Caenorhabditis elegans: one gene and its partner. The gene in region 2 interacts genetically with the main gene of each other region. Each region holds a gene or a part of one and is shown on either strand. Other genes may lie near its edges.

The links.
Region 1: of lin-23 (region 2) and ubq-1, changing one suppresses a phenotype caused by changing the other (phenotypic suppression), as found in Caenorhabditis elegans (one study listed by BioGRID).

Annotation. Positions count from the first base shown.
Region 1 is NC_003281.10:5,934,011-5,945,228, reverse strand, and holds ubq-1 (Ubiquitin-related), read right to left. Parts: upstream 4,244-11,218; 5' UTR 4,239-4,243; coding exon 3,872-4,238; intron 3,822-3,871; coding exon 3,366-3,821; intron 3,313-3,365; coding exon 2,629-3,312; intron 2,581-2,628; coding exon 1,897-2,580; intron 1,847-1,896; coding exon 1,521-1,846; 3' UTR 1,402-1,520; downstream 1-1,401. Other genes in the region: F25B5.5 (CDK5RAP1-like protein), read left to right, coding at 1-115, 166-526, 571-724, 770-900, 944-1,093, 1,143-1,313; EGAP1.1 (uncharacterized protein), read left to right, coding at 8,009-8,202, 8,558-8,681, 8,725-8,958, 9,066-9,290, 9,337-9,480. UniProt on the Caenorhabditis elegans protein: Ubiquitin exists either covalently attached to another protein, or free (unanchored).
Region 2 is NC_003280.10:6,366,174-6,377,867, reverse strand, and holds lin-23 (F-box domain-containing protein), read right to left. Parts: upstream 6,566-11,694; 5' UTR 6,556-6,565; coding exon 6,430-6,555; intron 6,312-6,429; coding exon 6,173-6,311; intron 6,120-6,172; coding exon 5,945-6,119; intron 5,892-5,944; coding exon 5,597-5,891; intron 5,550-5,596; coding exon 5,181-5,549; intron 5,046-5,180; coding exon 4,605-5,045; intron 4,456-4,604; coding exon 4,105-4,455; intron 4,064-4,104; coding exon 3,956-4,063; 3' UTR 3,318-3,955; downstream 1-3,317. Other genes in the region: Serine carboxypeptidase ctsa-4.1, read right to left, coding at 8,848-8,972, 9,019-9,106, 9,153-9,239, 9,284-9,365, 9,477-9,586, 9,633-9,779, 9,823-9,925, 10,149-10,489 and 1 more; clec-88 (C-type lectin domain-containing protein), read right to left, coding at 11,291-11,694. UniProt on the Caenorhabditis elegans protein: Functions cell autonomously to negatively regulate cell cycle progression. Required to restrain cell proliferation in response to developmental cues. Probably recognizes and binds to some proteins and promotes their ubiquitination and degradation.

The DNA of each region.
Region 1 (11,218 bases), on a different chromosome or scaffold from region 2:
TTGTCGCAGTTGCTGCAGGTGGTTCAAATGGAATTAATGTGCAACTTTCTCTCGATGAAACGTATGCAGATGTGCAACCGATTCGAGTCGATAGTGCTTCCAAGACGGCTTTCATGTTTGTCGATTTAAAAATTTCAATTTTAAAAAAACATTTTAAAACTTCAGTTCGATCATGCGAGGCTGTGACAATATGTGCACATACTGCGTGGTTCCATTCACAAGAGGAAGAGAACGAAGTCGGCCTATTGAATCAATTGTAGAAGAAGTTCAGAGGCTTCGAGATCAGGGATACAAACAGGTCACACTACTTGGACAAAATGTGAATAGCTATAGAGATATGACATCGATGGATTTCTCAATGGCTCCATCGACATCACAAGAGGACAGAGTTCCCGGTTTTAAGACTGTTTATAAACCAAAAAGTGGGGGCCTGACCTTTACAACATTGCTTGAAAAAGTCGCTGATGCAGCTCCAGATATCCGATTTCGGTTCACTTCCCCGCATCCAAAGGATTTCCCGATGCAGGTAACTTTTATGAAGCTTTAATTGATAATCATGATAACCTTCAGTTGATCGAGCTTATTGCATCCCGTCCAAATCTCTGCAAACAACTTCATCTTCCAGCACAAAGTGGAGATGATGAGACATTGGAACGGATGGAAAGAGGATACACAAGAGATCTGTATTTGAGATTAGTTGATGATATTAGACATGTTTTACCAAGTGAGTATGAATCACTCTTCAAACAAAACTTAATTATTTTATCAGGCGTCTCTCTGACAAGTGACTTCATTGCCGGATTCTGTGGAGAAACTGAACAAGCTCATCAGAACACACTTTCCCTCATTCGAGCCGTTCGTTATTCATTCTGCTTCGTTTTCCCCTACAGTATGCGTGGAGTGAGTCAGTTGCTGAAAATTGTTCCTATCAGATTATTTTCAGAAAACGCGAGCACATCATCGGTTAACAGACGATGTTCCAGAAGATGTAAAAGCAAGAAGACATTTAGATTTGACTACTGTATTTCGGGAAGAAGCATTGAAATTGAACCAAGCGCTTATCGGGTCGGAACAGACGGTTTTGTTGGAAGGAGTGAGTCATCTATAAACACCAATAAAATGAATTAAAATAATATTTTTAGAAGTCAAAAAGGGATGCATCATTTTCACATGGAAGGATCGATGGTGGTGTGAAAGCAGTGTTCGACAATTCGAAACTCTGTTTGGAACCTGGTCAATATGCAAAGATTCTGATCACCGACGCCAATTCGCAGACATTGAAAGCGCAACTCATAGGACAATCCAGCATCTGATCTATAAATATAGTTGAACCTTACACTTCATAGAGTAGTTATCTTTGTTGTTTGTTATTGTTAAAGATAAATCGTTTGAGTACACGAAAATGAATTTATTCAGAGCTCGTTCATTAAAATACAGAAATTCCCGAAGGAATAAAGAATAAATAATTGTTACTTGAACGGAGATCGAGGAGGAATAACGAGTGAATTGATGGGTTCGATTTAAATGTCTCCTCCGCGAAGACGAAGAACGAGATGAAGTGTCGACTCCTTTTGGATGTTGTAATCGGATAGAGTGCGTCCATCCTCGAGCTGCTTTCCAGCAAAGATCAAACGTTGCTGATCTGGTGGGATTCCCTCCTTATCCTGGATTTTGGCTTTGACATTCTCAATGGTGTCCGAAGCTTCGACCTCGAGAGTGATGGTTTTTCCAGTCAAAGTCTTGACGAAGATCTGCATACCTCCTCTGAGACGGAGCACCAAATGAAGAGTAGACTCCTTCTGGATATTGTAGTCCGAAAGGGTACGGCCATCCTCGAGTTGCTTTCCTGAAAAACAATAAAAATTAGTTTTAATTCTAAAAACAATATGAACTCACCAGCGAAAATAAGTCTCTGCTGATCTGGTGGAATTCCTTCCTTGTCTTGGATCTTGGCCTTGACATTTTCGATGGTGTCGGAGGCTTCGACTTCGAGGGTGATGGTCTTTCCGGTCAATGTCTTGACGAAGATCTGCATACCTCCTCTCAGACGGAGAACCAAATGAAGAGTAGACTCCTTTTGGATGTTGTAGTCGGAGAGGGTACGACCGTCTTCGAGTTGTTTTCCGGCGAAGATGAGTCTCTGCTGATCTGGTGGGATTCCTTCCTTGTCTTGAATCTTGGCCTTCACATTCTCGATGGTATCAGAGGCTTCGACTTCAAGTGTGATGGTCTTTCCAGTCAATGTCTTGACGAAGATCTGCATACCTCCTCTGAGACGGAGCACCAAATGGAGGGTTGATTCCTTCTGGATATTGTAGTCCGAAAGGGTACGGCCATCCTCGAGTTGCTTTCCGGCGAAGATCAAGCGTTGCTGATCTGGTGGGATACCTTCTTTGTCTTGGATCTTGGCCTTCACGTTCTCAATAGTGTCAGAAGCTTCCACCTCGAGCGTGATGGTCTTTCCTGTAAGAGTCTTGACGAAGATCTGCATTCCTCCTCGGAGACGGAGAACCAAGTGAAGAGTAGATTCCTTCTGAATGTTGTAATCAGAGAGCGTGCGCCCATCTTCCAATTGCTTTCCTGAAATAATAATAGTTGATTTGAGTTATGTATATCTATATAACGTACCGGCAAAGATAAGACGCTGCTGATCTGGTGGGATTCCTTCCTTGTCTTGGATCTTGGCCTTCACATTTTCGATGGTATCAGAGGCTTCGACTTCGAGGGTGATAGTCTTTCCAGTCAAAGTCTTCACGAAGATTTGCATACCTCCTCTCAAACGGAGAACCAAATGAAGAGTTGATTCCTTCTGGATGTTGTAGTCCGAAAGGGTGCGGCCGTCTTCGAGCTGCTTTCCAGCGAAGATGAGACGTTGCTGATCTGGAGGAATTCCTTCCTTGTCCTGAATCTTGGCCTTCACGTTCTCGATGGTATCGGAGGCTTCGACTTCGAGGGTGATGGTCTTTCCGATAAGAGTCTTGACGAAGATTTGCATTCCTCCTCGGAGACGGAGAACCAAATGAAGAGTAGACTCCTTTTGGATGTTGTAATCGGAGAGAGTACGGCCATCCTCGAGTTGCTTTCCGGCAAAGATCAAACGCTGTTGATCTGGTGGGATACCTTCCTTGTCTTGGATCTTGGCCTTCACGTTCTCAATAGTGTCAGAAGCTTCAACCTCAAGAGTAATAGTCTTTCCGGTCAAAGTCTTGACGAAGATCTGCATTCCTCCTCTTAGGCGGAGCACCAAATGGAGGGTTGATTCCTTCTGGATATTGTAGTCCGAAAGGGTACGGCCATCCTCGAGTTGCTTTCCTGAAAATATATAATAAATTTTAGGTCAAATATTAGATATTTTGCCAACGTACCAGCAAAAATAAGTCTCTGCTGATCTGGTGGAATTCCTTCCTTGTCTTGGATCTTGGCCTTGACATTTTCGATGGTGTCGGAGGCTTCGACTTCGAGGGTGATGGTCTTTCCGGTCAATGTCTTGACGAAGATCTGCATACCTCCTCTCAAACGGAGAACCAAATGAAGAGTTGATTCCTTCTGGATGTTGTAGTCCGAAAGGGTGCGGCCGTCCTCGAGCTGCTTTCCGGCGAAGATAAGTCTTTGCTGATCTGGTGGGATTCCTTCTTTATCTTGAATCTTAGCCTTGACATTTTCGATCGTGTCGGAAGCTTCGACTTCAAGTGTGATGGTCTTTCCAGTCAATGTCTTGACGAAGATCTGCATACCTCCTCTGAGGCGGAGCACCAAGTGGAGAGTAGACTCTTTCTGAATATTGTAATCAGAGAGTGTGCGTCCATCTTCCAATTGCTTTCCTGGAAAAAAATTAGTCTCTCATGAACAAAATTTGTTATATGTAACATACCAGCAAAGATAAGACGCTGCTGATCTGGTGGGATTCCCTCCTTGTCTTGAATCTTGGCCTTGACGTTCTCGATCGTGTCGGAAGCTTCAACTTCAAGTGTGATGGTCTTTCCAGTCAAAGTCTTGACAAAGATCTGCATTCCTCCTCTAAGACGAAGAACCAAGTGAAGAGTAGATTCCTTCTGGATGTTGTAGTCAGACAGGGTGCGGCCGTCCTCGAGCTGCTTTCCGGCGAAGATGAGACGCTGCTGATCTGGTGGAATTCCTTCCTTGTCTTGGATCTTGGCTTTGACATTTTCGATGGTATCGGAAGCCTCCACCTCCAGGGTGATAGTTTTTCCAGTCAACGTTTTGACGAAGATTTGCATGATTGCTGAAAAAATAGAAAATGAGTGCGAATAAAACTGGAATGAGGAGGCGAGAGAAGAGGTGATTATGAAAGAAAGTCCTAGAAAGTTGCGAAATATTACCCAAAAAATCGATACACTAGTAAGACTAACAAAGCAAACTTCATCCCCACTCGTCATAGGCAAGTCAAACGAAAAAAGAAAGGCATAAAAGTAAAATGGTAGTAAAGAGCTAATCGATGAGGAGTAATGTCCGAGTAGAGACAAGTGAAATGAGAATGGAGACAAGGTGGCACGCGAGCGGAGCGTTCTGGTCGAATGGGGTGTATGACTGCTGTATGCCCGCCTCAACGATCGATAAAACCCCCAACGCACGCGCACACTGACTCCGCCTTCCCCGAGTGTTGTTAGAGACGCAGATGTTCAGCTGATGTCCTCGTTTCTCTGACCGAAAATAACTACCAAGCAGTATTGCTAAAATGGGAAAATAATTCATATAACAACTGATTGAGATTATTCAAAAAAGCATGACATTTCTGTTGGTTTTACCCCGCTAAATCTTACAATTAGACAAAAAAAAAGAAACTCACCGTTTGGTAAACTGATTCTTGACAGTAATAAATTAAAGAGCGCCCAAAACGTGAATATTGAATCTACACGTTGAACTTTACTCAAACATTCTAATTAAACGACGCACGTATTATTGAAGGCCACAAAGTAAAAAATGTTGCTATGCTCACTTTCTGTTAGCAAGAAGTCGCCTATTACGAGAACCAGTGAGGAAGAGCAAGAGAAAGGAGGGGGGGGGGGGGGGTCGCTGACTCAAACGGCACTCTTTCTGCACAAGAAGAACATTCTAGAGTGCTGTGTAGGGAAAGAAATGATGAGGAAGAAGGGGACAATGTGTGCAGAGGGAATACAACGAAAATCGAACGGGGTGTTCTTTTTTCTCGTCATGCAACTGGGTCGACCAGTTTCTTTTCATCTTTAACTAAACGATAGAGAAATCATAGGCCTGAATAATAGTGACGTCTGTGTAAAGTATTGTTTCCATTTTTGTTACAGAAAATGATGAAACGAAGAATAGGAAAAGTGAACAGGGTCAGTTGTTCGTTTGACGCATATATAGGGAGAACATAAGAAAGAGCAGACGGTCAAGGACATTTTTTTATAATCTGCGACTAGCAGGAAAGTATGAATAATGTCCTAACGGCACCCGAACCAATTTTCAGACAGACGCGAAAGTGCTTGTACTTTGTACTGATGAACGAACGACAAAACAAGTGCAGTGAGAAAACGGGAGGACACTGGGGAGAATCATGTGAGCCCGTCATAAGACTAAAAGATGAGCTAGTGGCGATCAGGCGAAGGTTCAATACGACTATTGGGTCTTTTCAAGAGAGCCCCGGAAAACTAAATTTAAAAACATCAGTTAAGAGTACAACGAGAACAGGGAATGAGGAACGCACAGACTAAACATTAAAATTTTCCGATACTTTTCGAAAGTATTGCGAAATCAATAACAAAATACTTTGCTATGAGTTTTTTAAATGAAAACCGAAATAATGCAATTTTCTGAATGCTGGAAAGAGTGAAAAAGCGATACGAAAAAGCAGAGAGCAGCGAAAATAGCCGGCAACTCAAGATAATGAGAGAGCGCGAATGAATGAAGAAAATGATGGAAAGATCTGGAAAACAGAAACGAGCGGCAGAACGAATGCGAACGCGCCTTTCATGGTAGTGCGTGGCGGTTTCGTGGCGGGACCCAGGGAGGATTGCAGAACATGTTCCTTTAAATTAATTATTTATATTTTCATTGTAAATTTGTTTAAGAATACGAGAATTCTCGAATCCAGTTTGGAAAATATAATAAAAATTAAATGTTTTCAAAGAAAGATATCGAGACAGTTGCACATTAAACTTCCCGACAAAATCTATATTTAAATACGTTTTTCGAGTTTCTGATTTATTATGTGTCATGTTAAAATTGAAACATTACGCAATACTTTGAACTATGTTATTTATCATCAGAAAAAATTGACGTCTCATGAAAAATTAAAGCCTTGTGATCAAATTTCAAGGGTAACAAAAAATGATAATGACCAAAGCTTCATGTTTCTGATAAAATTTTATTGTATGGTCTTATAGGAGAAAATTGTACAATTCTCATTCTCCGGAAATTATTCCGAAGTGGAAGCTCACACTTGTTTTTGTTTTTCTCCATATCGAAATTTCACCGGGCTAAAATAGGAATGAGTGTTTGCGGAGGGTTGTCAAATTTGGTAGGAGGAAAACAAAATAGACGATAGGCGGAAATAAAGCACCTGGCAGTAACAGGTGCAGTGAAAGAAATAATGGAAACGATAGAAAAGTAAAGGTTTTATACAGCATTGACAAGCTGGATTCTTCTCGAAACTCGGGAATATCGCCACGTTGGAGAAAATCTAGTTTTTTTGTAAAGTTCTGTGGAAGCTTGAAAATGACTGCAAAGTTTTCAGAGAAACAAAGGAAAAATTGAAGTTTAAAGTTGTGTTCGAAAACGAAAATCGTGATTTATATCCTGCATTCTAACGAATAGCAATGAATAGTGATGATTTATTTCATCATCATTTTTCTCTTTTTAAGCCACGTCATAACTATTTGTATCTTCCTCACAATTGTTCAGTTAACTGAGAAACCTTTTAAAAAAGTATTATCAATTGAGAGATCACTGGCGCTTACTTGACGTGTGGCTATCTCGGTAGAAAACACGGAGAGACGCAAACATGTTTTTGGTGCGGAAAGTGCGGAAAAGAGGTGTTTGTTAAGTCGGCTGTGGGGAAACGAGAGGGAGACAGATACAATCTTGAAAAATTGACGACTATGATGATGATGATGCAAGCACGGAAATGGATGGTGGGGACTGGTTTGGAGAAAGCATCACGGGTCATGTGAGAGAAGAAAGATGCAAATAGGGAGGAAAGTGATGGAACGGGTAAGGGTTGAAGGGAAAAGGTATTATAAGTGTGGGGTTTTGAAAAATAGGGGATTGAAGGGATGTTTATAGGGTTAGAAAGATATTAGCATGTTGCAATTTTTTGCTTGCCACGATTTGGCAATATTTTCAACTTTCCAATGTGACCTAAAAAAAGATCTGGATCTTACAGCGAAGATTGTATACTTTTTATTCTGCGAACAAGAAACTTCATTCATTGCAAGACCAAACACAAAAGTTTATACGTCTTTAGTAGCGCCTATTACAACTTCGGAACTTGTTCAAAAATATTTTCGTGTCTGAAAATTGTAGAACTTTGAATATACAAAAATGCTACATGAATCTCCAAGTGTCCACGTTTTACCAAAAAAAATTGGCAATCTGCCAAAAAAAAAAGTCTGAAAATTTTGAAAAACCCTAAAACACATTAGAGTCCATATATCTACATAGTAATTTTTAAATTCATTATGAGTATATTTTGACAATATTCCAACTGTCGCTATTCCAACTTTAAAATAGTGTTCAGCTGAGAAAAGCGCATGAATTACAGTTATATATTCAATTGCGTTTTTGAAAAACCCGTTTTGCAACGTCGAAAAATTTAGGACCATTCTTGTTTTTTAACATTATCTAAAAAGCATTACAATCTCCAAAACACTCATACACACAAAAGTGTGCAGAAAAATATACGAAAAACCAATTTCCGCTCAAAAAGCCCAGTCACCCGTGACCTAAAAATCGTGAATTTAGTTTTTCATTTCCTTCCTAAATCCAACAAAATTTCGCAAGTCCCCTTCATCATCTCTTTTCAATAAAAATGCCCAATCGAACGAAATATTATGAAAAGCTGCGAGAGAAGCGTCGGCTGGCACGCGAACACGCGAAAAAAGTTCAAGAGGAGCGAGCAAGATCACGAGAAATGAAAGAAGAAAAATGGACAACACGAAATGAGTTTGATCTGATTTCTGAGCATCGACAGCTTCAGAGAAAGGCTTATATTGAAAAGATTAGGTAGGGAATTACTATTTGCCTGCCTACCGTCTATTTTCACGTGTTAATTTAGTTACCGTACTTCACTTATTAGTAGGGTGAGTTAATTTTTCAAAAAAATGGCAATAGTCAGGCGTGTAGACAAGAAGTACTTACATTTTTAGGAAGATTAAAGGTACACAAATTTGGAACATTAAAAAAACAAGAAAATTAAAAAATAAATTATTGGGTTTATTTTTTGAATCAAATTGTTTAAAACTAAAATATACTTCGAATTCAAAAGACCATCGTCTCCACATTTTTCTAGAAAACACTTTCTAAAATAATTGTTTTTTTTTAAAATTTTACTTTTAATAAAGTGTAAAAGTCTCTTTAGAAAAGAAAGTCAAGCAATGCTAGAAATGGCAGTGGCACGCGTGAAAGCTCACGAGAAACGGGAAAATATGTTGAAACAGGAAATTGAAGAAGAAGTGGAAACTGTGAGAACTTTCATTACTGAGGTATTCATTTCTGTCAAATGTCATCTGTGTGAAACTCTTGCAGCAATGCGAATACTACGCTGACATTCATCAACAAATATCTCCACCGAAAGAACGAAGTGTGGATCAGATTGTTGGAGAAATCGAAACAGAACTCAAAGAAGTTGTAGTTATTCAAAATTTGAACATTTATATTGAAATGTTTCAGATCTATGAGATATTTTCAAGTGTGTTTAATTTTGACCCAAAGATGCCAGAAAATGTGGGCGTAAAGGAAGACGACGATAAGGTTTTTGCTGTAAGTTGTGAGATTAATAGAAGTTCTATTTGAAGGCTTGGCGTATTGTCTTATGGCATAAGTATAGGGTATCGTAATAAGCTGATCCAGTATATTTTCTGTTTCAGAAGGAAATTGCTCAATTGGAAGAAGAATTTGAAGCTAACACTTTGAAAGCTGAAAGCCTCGAAAAAGAAATCGCTTATTCAAAAGTACAAATTGAAACCGAAAATGTTAAATTCGCGGCAATTGAACAAGAAAAAGCAATCGAAATTATCAAATTGGAGAAGCAAATAAAGATAATGGAGGCAAAATTAGACTTTATGAAACAAGATCCAATTGAGATTGAAGAGGTATTAGAAGAGTCGTGGGAAAAACTAGATTTATTAATTTTTTCAGATTGAAAAGCTGAAACACCGTGTGGAAGAAGAGACGCAAAGAAATACGGAATATGCAGAATCATTAAAGTATATCAAAGAAATGATAAGGATTAAAAAGGCAGAAAAAAATGAAAAGAAACAGAAAAATGCAATTGATAATTAAAATTGGAAACTTGTTTTTTAACAATCAATTTTATGTAAAAATAAAAGTACTCATTGAAATTGGAAGAAACTCAAATTGAAAAAAAAAACATTTGTTTTGATGCGGCAAAAATAGAAATTACAAAAAAATTCACTGTGTTGTTCGAGTTACAATTTCTTGAATCTAGCTATATGTAGTTTTTTTTAGAGTTCCACGAACAATGACATTACACAATGATTATTATTATTGTGTCACTCGATGAAAGCCAAGTTCAAAAATATTTAATTTCTTTCGGAAAAGCTGTCATAAAACCTTTGGCTATTTTATTCCCGGGTGCCACGATAAAAACTCAATGTGCCATCATCATTGCCCGACTATTTTTATGTAAGTTTATGCGCCCCTCGAGAGAAAGATGTATTTCGTAACCCATTTCAAAAGAAGGACGGCTCGTTGAACAGAATACACAGATTTCTGTTCCAATTGGAGATTTTTCCTTTTCTGTATTGATCATCAAAGTATTCGAGTACGTTTACACTGGTTTCTGTTCTTTCCGTTTTTAATTTCTCCTGCCAGATGCAAACTGATTCATGTGTACGTATTGCTTGAAAAAAAGAGTAACAAGAAAAAGTAGAAGGGTATTAGTCGTAGTAGTAGTATTCAGTTGTAGTAATATATATTTCTACTAATTTGTTTAGTTTCGCCACTTAAGATGGTCATCGCAATTTTCAATTAATTTTTTGGTGGACTTTTCAGAAGAGAAAACGTCGAAATATTTTATGAATGGAAAATGTGACAGTTTTTTTTGCATATTGGCCATTTTCTAGTAGGTTTGAAAAACTACTATGGTAAATTACCAAAAGTTGCAACTTGTTGCGACGGTTTTGTTGTTCTTGTTATTCCTTTTTCAGCTTCTCCTCTTTCAAAAATTGTCTGAAACAAAAAGCACATGAAATTTTGTTTAATCCGTTAAAAACCTAAGTTACAGTAACCAAGCACTCGTTATCAATATCAAAATATTGGAAAGTCGATAAACATAATGAGTTTTTTTTTGTAATATAACATGAGTAATTACAAAATTGACTTTTTTAAAAATCTGATTTGCCACGGATAGTTTCAGCCCGTTTGACCTAGTACACGAGATAACTGGAAATTCTTGTTAAATATCTTTATTACGTAATAATTTTTGGAAAGTCATGTTTTGACGTGTTTCAAATAAGATGACAATGATGCAGTACTAGGAAAAAATTGTCTTCATATTCTATGCATAATGACTTTTTACAGCATTTTTAAAAGATGAAAATACGTTTGAAAAATGCAATAAAATTTACATAAATTGGTTTCCGCTTTTCCTCTCCTATCTAACAATACTTTTACCTTCTTTTCCTTTCAATCTCACTCCGTTCCTTTCATCTTTTTTTCTGACACTCTCGTCTCTTTTTTGATCCCAACTGACCATTCTCTTTTTTTGAAAAATAAAATGTGGTCGTAGGAGACATTAGACATCATTTCGTGTAATGTGTAACTGAGAGCAAGAAGGAGGTTAAATTGAGGAAAAAAAAATAGATAGTGAGTGTTTTCCCATCGTTTAGATGGATAATGAGTTTGATGAGCACACTCATCACAAAACCGCTAGAATTACAATTGAGACATTATGTGAAGCACAGGTCACTTCGTTATTCCTTGTGTCATTTTTGTAGTTTTCTGTTTTTTTTTGTTGCAAAATTTTGGCATCATCTGGTGAATGTGTCATTTTTTTAAA
Region 2 (11,694 bases):
CTAGGTGCCAGTTACGTTCGTTTCGTTTTCCCGCTGATCATCCATCATCACTCTCATTTTTAACAGCTCCTTCATTCACTTTCATTTTTATGTTATCAGTAACCTCATGCGGAGTCTGCATCATTCATCACATTCATTTATCTATTTTTCAGCATTTTATTCGGAAACAAATACACAACTTTTTACCGTTGCCATCTCATTTTCTTCAACTTCTGTGAAATTATGAACTGTGTTGTCTCCCTCTCTCTACTTATCTTATTGGCAGAAAAAAGCAGCTGAGAAGGACGAGAGTCAGATGATTGGATGATGGGAGTGTGAGGAAAGAAAAAGAAAAAGAAGAGCATTAAAATACAATAGTAAATGATAATTAGAGAAACTAATACGCTAAACTGGGAGGGCTGGTACAAAGAATAAAAGGAAGTTGTTGTTTCGGTAAACAAATGTCATGAGCACTGCGGGAAAAAATGTCATAAGATATGGAAAATCAATTTCTTACGAAATTTTCAGTTTCATTGCAATGTGCTGGAAATGTGTTTGTAAGTGAAGTGTTAATATATGAAGTACAATACAGCACTAATATTTTTGAAGAGTCAAGTACCTGCAGACTTGTATTTAGTCACATATTATCTGCACTGAAAATTCGTCTTATCCAAACATTGTCACAAGCATGAATCGCATTTTGGAATTTTTTAAGTTGTTTAAAAAGTACGAGTTGATGGGAAATTATGAAAACTCGAAGTTTTGGCCTCTAATCGAATATTTTTAACAAAGAAGAAATGAATTTTCAAAAAGTTCAATTGATCCACAATTTTCATATAAAATTGTAACAATGGGCAGAAGTCGTACTATAGTTATAACCTAGATTCGTAGATTAACTACTGTAGTCCCTGCCCTAAAATGTGTTTTCTTCACGTTTTCTTTACTGGAACTTAATTTTAAGAGGTAAGCTGGATAAGCCTACAACCAGTTATGAACCTGCAACTATACCATATTCTGATTAAGTCTAGCTTCAACTGATTTCCAGCTGGATTAAATTCAACTTAACATAAGTATTGGCAATTAGGATAATGATTAGATCTCGGCAATTAGGATAATGATTTAGATCACTGTTGCCAAAAAATTTTTAACTGGAATATTTCTGAGAGTGCTACCTGAAATGTTTCCTACGACTAGGTCGTTTCACGTATAACCTTTGCAATATAACAGAACACAAGTTCAAGGCAGAACATCTCAATCTTGCCAAGTCGTCTTGCAATATTTTATCTTCTCATATCATAAAAAGATCAATCATTTCTATTTGACCTCCCATATTTTGATTACAGGTAAAGGAAATTGCAACACGTTTTAAAATCATCGTCGTTCCTGATTTATCTTTTGATTTTCCAACTCTCGTTCTCATTTCCAATCTTTACCCTTTCTGCCACCTGGCGCATTAATCATTGCTTTTTCCGATTATCACTTTCATGCTTCTTGTTGTGACGTCCTCTCATTCATCATTTGCAGTTAACAGGAAACATTGTTGTATGAAAAAAATAGTCAGCTGTTTATTCAACAAATAACGCGTTAAAAGGACATGAATAATCAGACAATGCTTAATGAAGCCATCGAGAAATCTCTGAAAATAAGCTTAATGTTTTTGAAAACAAGTCATTTTGAATTGAGATTCACATATTTAAATATTCAGTTCGAAAATGATTCGTGAGTTGAAATTTTCATGTCTTCCAAGTAAATAAGATTTCGAATATTTCTATTTCGGTAACCTATTTCAGTTCATTGATTATTAACTTTCAGCTTATCAACTTCAATTTAAAATTCATCAGACTCGATTCCTCATCAGAAATTCTGCATCCAAATATTGTCGAAAAGGAACTTGACTGGTTGTTTTCCAAAAAAAAAACATTAAATAACTCATTGAAACTAATTCAAAATTCAACTGAAAATTCTAGAGATCAGAAAGAAACTGGCATTTGAGTGAGGGTGGATTTGATGTTTATTAGATGTTTGATTACTTCAAAAAGTTGCACCTAATAAAATAGCCTACATTCTGGGGGGTTTGTGGTTTCTGACACAAAACTACGATCATAGCTACAATCACAAGAAAGTTCCTGTCTACACGAAAAAGTACAAAATTACATTGTTTTAGTTTTAGAATGAAATACACTATGAAATAAAATTGATATTTACCGAAAAAAAAAATTTTATATCCTTCAAAAATGTGTATAAAAACTTTTATTTGCGCTTAAAAAGTAGAGTTTTGTGTGGTATTCAAAATGAAATCAGGTCATCTTTAATTTTACATTTCAATTGAATTACAGTAGTAGAACGTTTCGAACTTTCAATTACACTCAACATGATTTATTTTTATTCAGAAGGCAAAAAATAGTGAGCATCGTTATTTGGCTCATCATAGTTAATTCTAGAGTATTGACAACTTAATGCAAACGATGATTGGGTGAACAACTATATAAACTGTCTCGAATAACAATACAAATATTTATACTATCCACGAAAACCAGGTATTCATTTGAAACAGAAAAAAATCACATTTACTGCTGAATCGCTTCCTAAACCAATTGAAAAGGGTACTGTAACTTGTCATCGTCTAGGTTTCAATGTGTTGTACTCGTTTTTTGATTGCTTCGCGAATTCGTATTAAATCAAAAATCTATAGTCATCCTACATAGTGTGTCCACTATGAAAATAGTTGTGAAACATTCCAATCTCCGACAATTCGTGAACTTTACAATAATCCCATTCTAACCTCTCCGGAAATTGATAAGAACTCAAAGGTGTGTGCCAAATTGAACTTTTTTTGCCACACTTCGGGTTCAAACTTACCGCTTTTTTGCTTTTGCAGAGGAGAAATATTAGTTTTGGCATTAAAATGTGACACCACCCATCTGCCAAACACTTGATCTGCCAAACACTTGAGCTGTCACATTTTTGATCGAATTGCAATTGAAATATGGAAAATTCCGTAAACTTTCTTGTGAAATATCTAATCGATATGTTGTCATTTAACTGTCGCATGACTTGATTTTGCATGCTTATCGATTATAACTTTTGACTTTTTTCTACTACAAAACTGGGATTCAGTGGAAGGTTAATTATTTTCTCATTATCACTCTTGTCACATGACTAAATAAATAGTGTGATAAGAATGGGGACGTAGAGATGTAATAGAAGAAAGTTGCAGAAATGCTCAAATCGGTTCTGCAAAGTTGTCAGTGACAATGACGTAGGAAAGACAGGAAGTGACAGAAGAATGATAATGAGAAACTCTAATTTAGAAAAAAAGATGGAATGGCAGATTGTGGAGTAGCAAAACCCAAATTTGTTTATATCATTTCGAACTATACAGAACACAATTTTCCGAGCGAATAAAAGAAATTTGGAATTGGAGGCAATGGAAGGGGAGAAAAATTAGGAACGAAAACGATTATTTGAAACAGATTTGTGTGAAGCGATTGAAAATGTGCGGGTGAGGAAAGCGGGGGATAGAAGCATTTAGAATCGTCGCCGTAGAAGAAAAACCGTTGAGAAATGGGAAGAGGGATGAAAAACAAAATAAAATGGTGAGAGTGGATGAATGGGCACCCGCAAAGCATGCGACTTTGAAAATTGAAGTATTAAAAAAATAGTTTCAGAAAAACCAGGACTCGAATGCGGTTACAAAAACAAGAAAGAAAGGGGTTGTGCGTGCGATATTCCAATATGTCGATTGAGAAAAGATGAATAGAATGCAGAGACACACACACACACTATTATCACATGAAATCAGATCAGTTAATAGTGAGAGGAAAAGTTGGGAAGGGGATGCAAAAGGATACTGTACAAAGGAATTTCAACTTTCTTTTTTGGAAAATGACAAGGAAGATTACAGAGGGTTTGGTTGATTTCTGCACCGGTTGAAGATCAGTAAAAATTCAAAAAAAAATGGGAAGGAGTGTAGATTTTATGGGCCACCATCTGGCATCTCTTCGTCTACGTCGCCTCCGCCCAGGTGATCCATATTATTTTGTTGTCGGCGCATATTGTCAAAAGCAGCCATTTCTTGCTGAAACTTGTCAATCTTTAGTCTCATCATTCAATTTTCAATTTTACCATAAGTCTGACAGGCAATTCTGGTCTTGGTTGCCTCCTTCTATGATTCTGATTGTGTGGTTGCGGTGGCGCTGGTCCAGCCACGTTCGGATTATTAACCTGATCAACTCTGTCCAGATCTTCCTCTGATGACGATTCATCATTGTCCCCGGCACCTCTAGCAGCTTCCGCCGCTGCTGCAGCTGCTGCAATATCGGCATTGTGTCGACGAGCAGCATTGGCACGTGGCCTCAGTGCAGGTTCTTCCACAACTTCTCTATCTCGTCGCTCAATTTCTCGTCGAGCAGCCATTTCAAAAAGCATTTGAGCTCGAGCGACAGCAGCTTGGTTTGGAAGTTCTGGGAGGGTGGCCTAGAAAAATAAATATGAATCACGGAAAAGAAACTGACTACAAATTTGCAAGCACTTTTTTTTCTTCAAAGTGTATTTGCGAATTTTGAAGACTATCAAATGTACTGCCATTTCTCAATTAACAGATTTGATCCAGATGTTGTACTTACTCTGTTTGTTGAAGACGGAAGCCCACTGGGTGGAGCGTCCAAAAAGTCCCAAATGAGAATAGTGTCATCATGTGAAGAGGAAACAATTTGGAAATCATCAAACTGCAGGCGGAACACTCTGCCAGTATGTTGAACTAATGAGCAGAGGCATATTTCCGAAGATAATGCACGAGGATCTAGAGCAGCTTGAAGATCCCATACTTTAATCTTTCCGTCGTATGCTCCGGAGACAATTCGTTTTTCGTCAAATCGAATGCATCGCACGAGCTCTTCATGGCCTTCAAGAACACGTAGGCATACACCAGAATGAATATCCCATAGTCGAATCGTGTTATCACTGGATCCAGAAACAACGAGCCGTCCACGATATTGAAGACATGCAATTCCTCGTCGATGGCCAGCCAATGTTCGAACAAACTCGAGTGTATCCATTGACCAGACCTGAATATTGAAAAAAATTAATATTTTCAGAACCGCAAGAATAGTAAACGAGACTCAAACGATAAGTACACCTTTAAATTAAAAAAAAAGCTTCTTAATAACTGGAAAAGCAGTTTTTTAATTTCAAATTCTCACCTTAATAGTTCGGTCTCCACTTGCACTGACTATATATCTATCATCAAAATCAACGACATTTACAGCTGCTCTATGACCAACAAGAACTCTTCGAATTGTGATATCGCGTGGCGAAACCATATCCCAGACAGCAATCGATCTATCTTTTGAGCATGTTACCATTATTCCATTAGCAAATCGAAGATGAAGAACAGCTTCACAATGATGAATTAACGTTTTAATGCACTCTCCAGTTTCGACATCCCAGACACGTACTGTGGCATCAGAAGATCCAGAAATTATTACACGATTGTCATATTGAAGGCATAAAACGGAACCAGTATGTCCAGAAAGAATTCGACTGCAGCTGTAGTCTTTTCTATCCCAAATCTAAAAATATCAGAGTTATTTTGAAATCAAAATAATATCATTCTGACTTTAATAGTGTTGTCCCTCAAACCAGATACAATTTTGTCATCGTCATATTGAAGGCAATATACTCCTTTGCTATTTTCTGATTGACAATTTATTCGAGTCATTTTGTAGTTTCCACGTTTCCAGTTGTTGTCAATGTTATGAATATCTCGAATGATTTTTGGATATAATTTACTGTAGAAGACATGCATTAAAATGAGCTGATCAAGCTTATCCCGTTTAATATTCACATCGTAGTTGAATTTTTCACAGATTCGTCGCACTGACATGTCTCGACTGATATTCAGGAATTTGTCCCTGAAATCAAGTATTTTATTCCTATTTTCTGATAAACTAAATCATCAACTAACCATTGTCTTTTTTCAGAAAGTCCCCACCACAGGGAATCACTTCGAACATTCTTTTCAATCAATTTCTTCCAATGTTGACCACGGGCGAGTGCACATCGCCAGCTTGTGCTCACTTCTTCGCAAGATTTTAATGAATCCGAGTTTACATTAAACAGAATTAATTCGACAAGATGTGCTGAAATAAAATAGAATTAGATTAGTTTAATACTGAACAGACAAAAATTTTACCTGGTAAATTACTAATGAAATCTCTCTGGAGCATGGGCCTGATAAAGTTGTCGACTTTTCCCAACTGATAATGTGATAATCGATGAACAATTTTGTCCATAAAATCGAGCTGTTCGTGTTCACTCCATTTTAATACTTCCTGAAAAAGGTGATGATAGTTGAAGAAAGATTTGGGAAAAATCAAAAAAAAAAAAAAAAAAAAAATCAAAACGACATTATGATGGCGCTAGAATGACGGGAAATCTCGTTTTCCTTACCTCGATCAGGCCTTCGTGCCCTTGAAGGTAGTCAATAGAAAGCGGTTTGCCCTCATCGTGTTCACCTTCCGTCAACGATAAGTCCGCCAGCTGCTGAGTTGTTGAAGCTCGGTGCGGTGAAGACATTTAATGTCCTGAATTAAATGGATATTATTGAGTGTTGATTGATTAGAAGATAAAAATATGTCGATATTTAGAGAACAATGTTTTTGTGTAAAAATCAATTTAAAGTCGGAAAGATCTCATATAATCAGGTGAGTTAATCAGTATCATCGAAATTTAAAGGAAATTAAAGGGAAAATGTTCCGAAGATGAAATTGTATCAACGTTGCAATGAATTTTTTGTTTCGAGAATTCTCTTGATTTCGTAATCTTTTACAGAATCAGTGAACTGGTTAATCCAAATAGAAAAATAAATTGTTATAGGAATATCTGAATTTCAGCTGAAAATAGCAAATAAAACATCTGGGAGTTTGAATTTAACAACACAATATTTGAAGATTGACATTTAAAAAACTTATTAAATAATATGTATTGCAAATGAAAAGGTAACGCACATTTTGGTGTTTATCGTCAAATTTGTGTTTATAATTTCAACTTATTTTAAAAAATAAATCAAGAATCTTTTATATGTCTCGATAGAGAATCAAAATAGTGATTTTAATCAAAGATTTCAGGGCATTTCAGAAAATCGATAAAATAGCATTTAAACTGGCAAATTTTTCGATGAGCATAATAACTATTTAGTCATGACTTTTTTTTAGTTTTTCAATCATAAATTTGCTCTTTTCTCCATTTGGGAGAAACATATTTAACGTTTTTATGATGCGGTTGGGCATTAAACGAGAACAAACGTTCGGAAATTGAAAATATCTCAGGTTTTCCTGAAAATACACAACTAACGGAAAACGATGAAAACGAACGACTATACGAAAGGAAGATTTGAGTGTTACGAGAAGGAAACAAAAAAGAAAAGACAGAAAAGAAGGTAGAAAAGAGAAAGAAAATCGGATTAGAGACAGCGGTGAAGCACCTTTCAATAGTGGAGACGCAGACAGTTAGAGCTTGAATCGACCCGCCGTCTCGTGCACGCCCTCTTTGCTTTAGGGCGCGCTTGCCTTCTCTAAATCTCCGCATTTTATGTGATGTCTAGCCCAATCCAACTGGATTCTGTTCACCTTTAAAACTAGCGAAAAGCGGAGAAAGCAAGAGAAAACAGTGTGGGAAAGGGTATTTCTCGTACTTTTTCTGCACCCCGTGCACTCTAATACTACCTCCCTCTGTCTGCTGATCACATTTTCAGCTCGACTTTTGATTTTCAGACCCGAAATTCGAGATATTATTACACATTTAGATTGACATATCTCTCGTTCTTTTTCAACCTACCTTCTTTTCCGTCTGTTTTGTGTTCGTTTGAAAAATCTTGTTTTCGTTGGTCTAGCGGTTTTTATTTCAGGATTTCAGACGCAAGTAAATACATCAGAAAGAGGACAGTGAGAGTACTGTAAACTTTAAAGGCGCACACCTTTTTGTGCAACATCTGCTTCAAAGTTTTTTGTTCGTGGCAAGACCTATTGTGCTTCAGAAATCGGATAAATTCGAAACCACTTATAATAAAAATTTGCAAAACGTATCCCATAAACATAATTTATTCTATTACATGTATATTACACTTTCAAGGAATTCACAATTCTGAAAAAATTGTTTTTAGTATAGAATCTGAAACTTTCTAAGTTTTGTACTAAATTTGAAATATCCAAACTTTTAAATTAGCTGATACCATACATTGAAATTTGAGAATTACACTTAAACGTAATACCACATAATTTCTGTCAACTTCTGTTGCAAGACAAAAGACATTAGGATGTTGAACAGGTTCATTGAAAAATCATTATACCCTTTATTTCTTCGATGGGTGCTTCTATTGGTTAAATAAAAACACGAATGATGGCTAGGTTCGTGGTATTTATTATTCATTAGACTCATCTGAAATTCAAATATATCTATCTGCCAAAAACAGAATATCCAGTTATCATTGGTGCATACTAAAGGTCAACATTAGTACAATTGGCAAGGAACAATTAGAAATTTGAAGTTTTTTTGTAAATCATTTTGAAAAAAAAACATGAAACGTATTTCTGTACCATAACAAAACACTCAAAAAAAATTCAGCCAAACTTTTTGGTAAACTGCCAAATTACCAAAAATTAGAATTTATTAAGTTTTGTAGTTTAAAGATGGAGTAGTGAAATCAATGAAGATTTTTTGAATTTTTTCACATATATATTCGGAATCAGAGGCAAATTTGGATTCATTTAAAAATATTTCCCAGATTTTCGCTACTTTTAAGTAACTCAATTTTCTTTTTATTGCCTTAAATAGAAACTTCTCCAAAAATTAATAAATCACAGTCAATGATCAAAGTTGAATAGGAGTAGAATAGTCCTTATTATTGATAAAATTAAAAATCATTTGCTGCGATTCCTTAGGTTTGTCTTCAGGCACAAAGTGGCCACTTCCACGAACGGTCAAAAAATCAACATCTGTAAATGGTTATGTAGGTTTAAAATGATATTAAAGGCAACAAACTTCCGGCGAACTTGGTCTGAAACCCAGCTACTGCAGTTCCAGTCTGGCCGGAGTAGTGCCAAGCCTCGTTCACTTTCTCCTGTTCTCCCTAAAAAATAAAAGTTAAATATAAAATAAAGACAAGAGAAACTAACAAGAACTGTCAGGTTGAGTGATGTCAAAAACTGTTGATTCATGATTGAATTACAAGCAGTGTCCACATCTCCATTGTAGACAAGAATCTAAACAATTCTAAATACTTGAAATTAATTTGAAATATTCAAACTTTAATTCCTGCAGCAATCATTGTCTGAAATTCGGGAATCACATTGAAATGTGTTACTACATAATTCTTTCCAACTTGGTCGCTGTAAGAGAAAACAATTAGGATTAATTAATTGTAAGATGACACTACGCAATATTCTAGCAAACTTTCCTCCAGGTAATACCGAGAAGACATAGACCCCACAAAAACCAACCTACACTCTTCCCATGCTGGAAGAGAACTTGGAATGTGCAAACTTTTCCGAACATCCGCTCTATTCAAATAAACATGTGTATTATTGGTTTGAGCACAAAGCGGAACTGTCTGAAAGTATTTTGAAATTATAGTAGTTTCTGAAATCTAGTATTACGGTAGCTGCATTATGTTTTCTTGCTGGTAATCCGACGGCTATTCTCATTTGTCTTTCGATAAAAGCTTTTTTGAGATTTGTGGTTGGATTGTAATAACAAACATCATACAAGTTGTACATATTAAGCTCATTAGTACCATCTAGTGCCTGAAATTTAAAACATTTTTGAGAGAAACTGTTTCCAACTTACATTGATAACTTTGTCTCTACAATTTGGATCAAAGAATTTGCTGTAGATGTCACATGTTCCAATGTTGTTATTGCAACAATTTCTTGCAATGTCATTGTATAAACTGAAAAAATATACAATTATGAAGAAGTATCATTTGAAAAATCAGGTAGAAGGAAAGTTATCAAAATGTGGCAATTTCCGTTAGGTCTTGTCACGATCTCATCACTCGCGGTGCCAATTTTTGAAGATTATTCAATAAACGTTGAAGTCAATTTTTATAGGACTATGCTTCAACTTATTGCAAACCAACGTACAATATCTAGATTAATTATAAACCAACTTACTCGTCACGAACTAAAGCATGGTAATAGTAAAATGGAACCATAGTATTATAGTTATTTGGAAAATTCAAGGCTCCATTACCAATCGCCACTCCTTTGAAATTTGGGAAGTTTTTCTTGTCATTCAAAATACGTACGGCCAGAGTTGGAATATAAACTCCTGCATACGATTCTCCTGTGATCCAGAAATCACGACCCTTATATTCTGGGAATTTGGATAGAAAATCAAGAAGAGCCATGTAATTATGTAGAGATACTTCATCATCAGAAACTGTCAAATTGAAATTTGTTGAATAAGAATATCCAACGCCTGCTGGAGATTCCAGGAATAAGACATTTGCAAACTGAAATTGTTACTTTCTCATACAATATTAAAAGTGGAATTCTACTTTGTTCCAGGCGTACTCGTTGTAGTATATAGAGTTTCCAAAATCCTTTACATGAAATGGTCCCAATTCTTCAATTAACCCATCTAAACTAGAACATCCCGGTCCTCCATTGAGCCATAGAACTAGGGGATCCTGAGTTGGAGCTCTAGATGATTCGGTTAACCAATAATGCAAATATTTGTCTGTCCAAGCTCGCAAATATCCAGAATAATGAAAGAAATCTGGTGTGAAAGTCAATCCTGGTAAATCATTGACTTTATCCGTAGCTGGAGCAGCTAGACAGAAGGAATATGAGGATACAAAAATAAAAAGTATAGAAAGTAGTTTCATTTCTGAAATGAATGGAAAGCAAACTAGGAAATTGATAAGTGTTATAAGATGACAATAAGAAAGAGGATTATTGAAGTGTCGTCAGATGAGACAAAATGATTTGATGATTTTAACTTTGAATTGTAACTTCTCTAGAAATATTGCTCCAATGTTCCCAAGACAGAATGATCATAAGTACTTCGTTCGTCCAAAGTGAAGCCCGCCTTTTAGGTGTTCGTACATGGTATGCGAGCAAAAATAAATATTGCAAGTTACTTCGGAATTCTCAGTTTTTATGGTTTAAGACAAGTACAAAATGAGAATCTTTAGGGAGTAGTGAGAATTACATAATTCATAAGTACAGTCGATGACAGGTAATGGGAGAAGAGGAGATTTTGATGGATTTGATGACAAGATGGTAATTGTAATGTAAGATTATTTACATTTTTAATGCAATGAATTAGCAATGGTCGAGTTCCGTTCACAGATCGAATAGAATAAATATGTACATGGGTAGAAATAAGTGTATGAAGCAGTTTCCAAAGAGGCTGGGGACTTATAACTGGCAGCACAGTTGGCAAGTTGTGACCATCCATTGACGAGTGGACTATACGGCTTGATCAACCAGTTTCTGAATTTTTTTCTTTGAAAAAGAACACTTGCAAAGTAAACACACATCTTAGACGGATTGACAGCTCCTTCGGTCTGCCAACGTGGCAATTGCTCGGATCTCTCGTAGTGGGAAAATCTAACAAGACCGATCCACGAAGAAAACGAGTCTTTTGAATGACCACGAATTGCCTCCCACTCATCGATAGAATTGGCCACAAACAGTGTCGATTGCTTTTCAG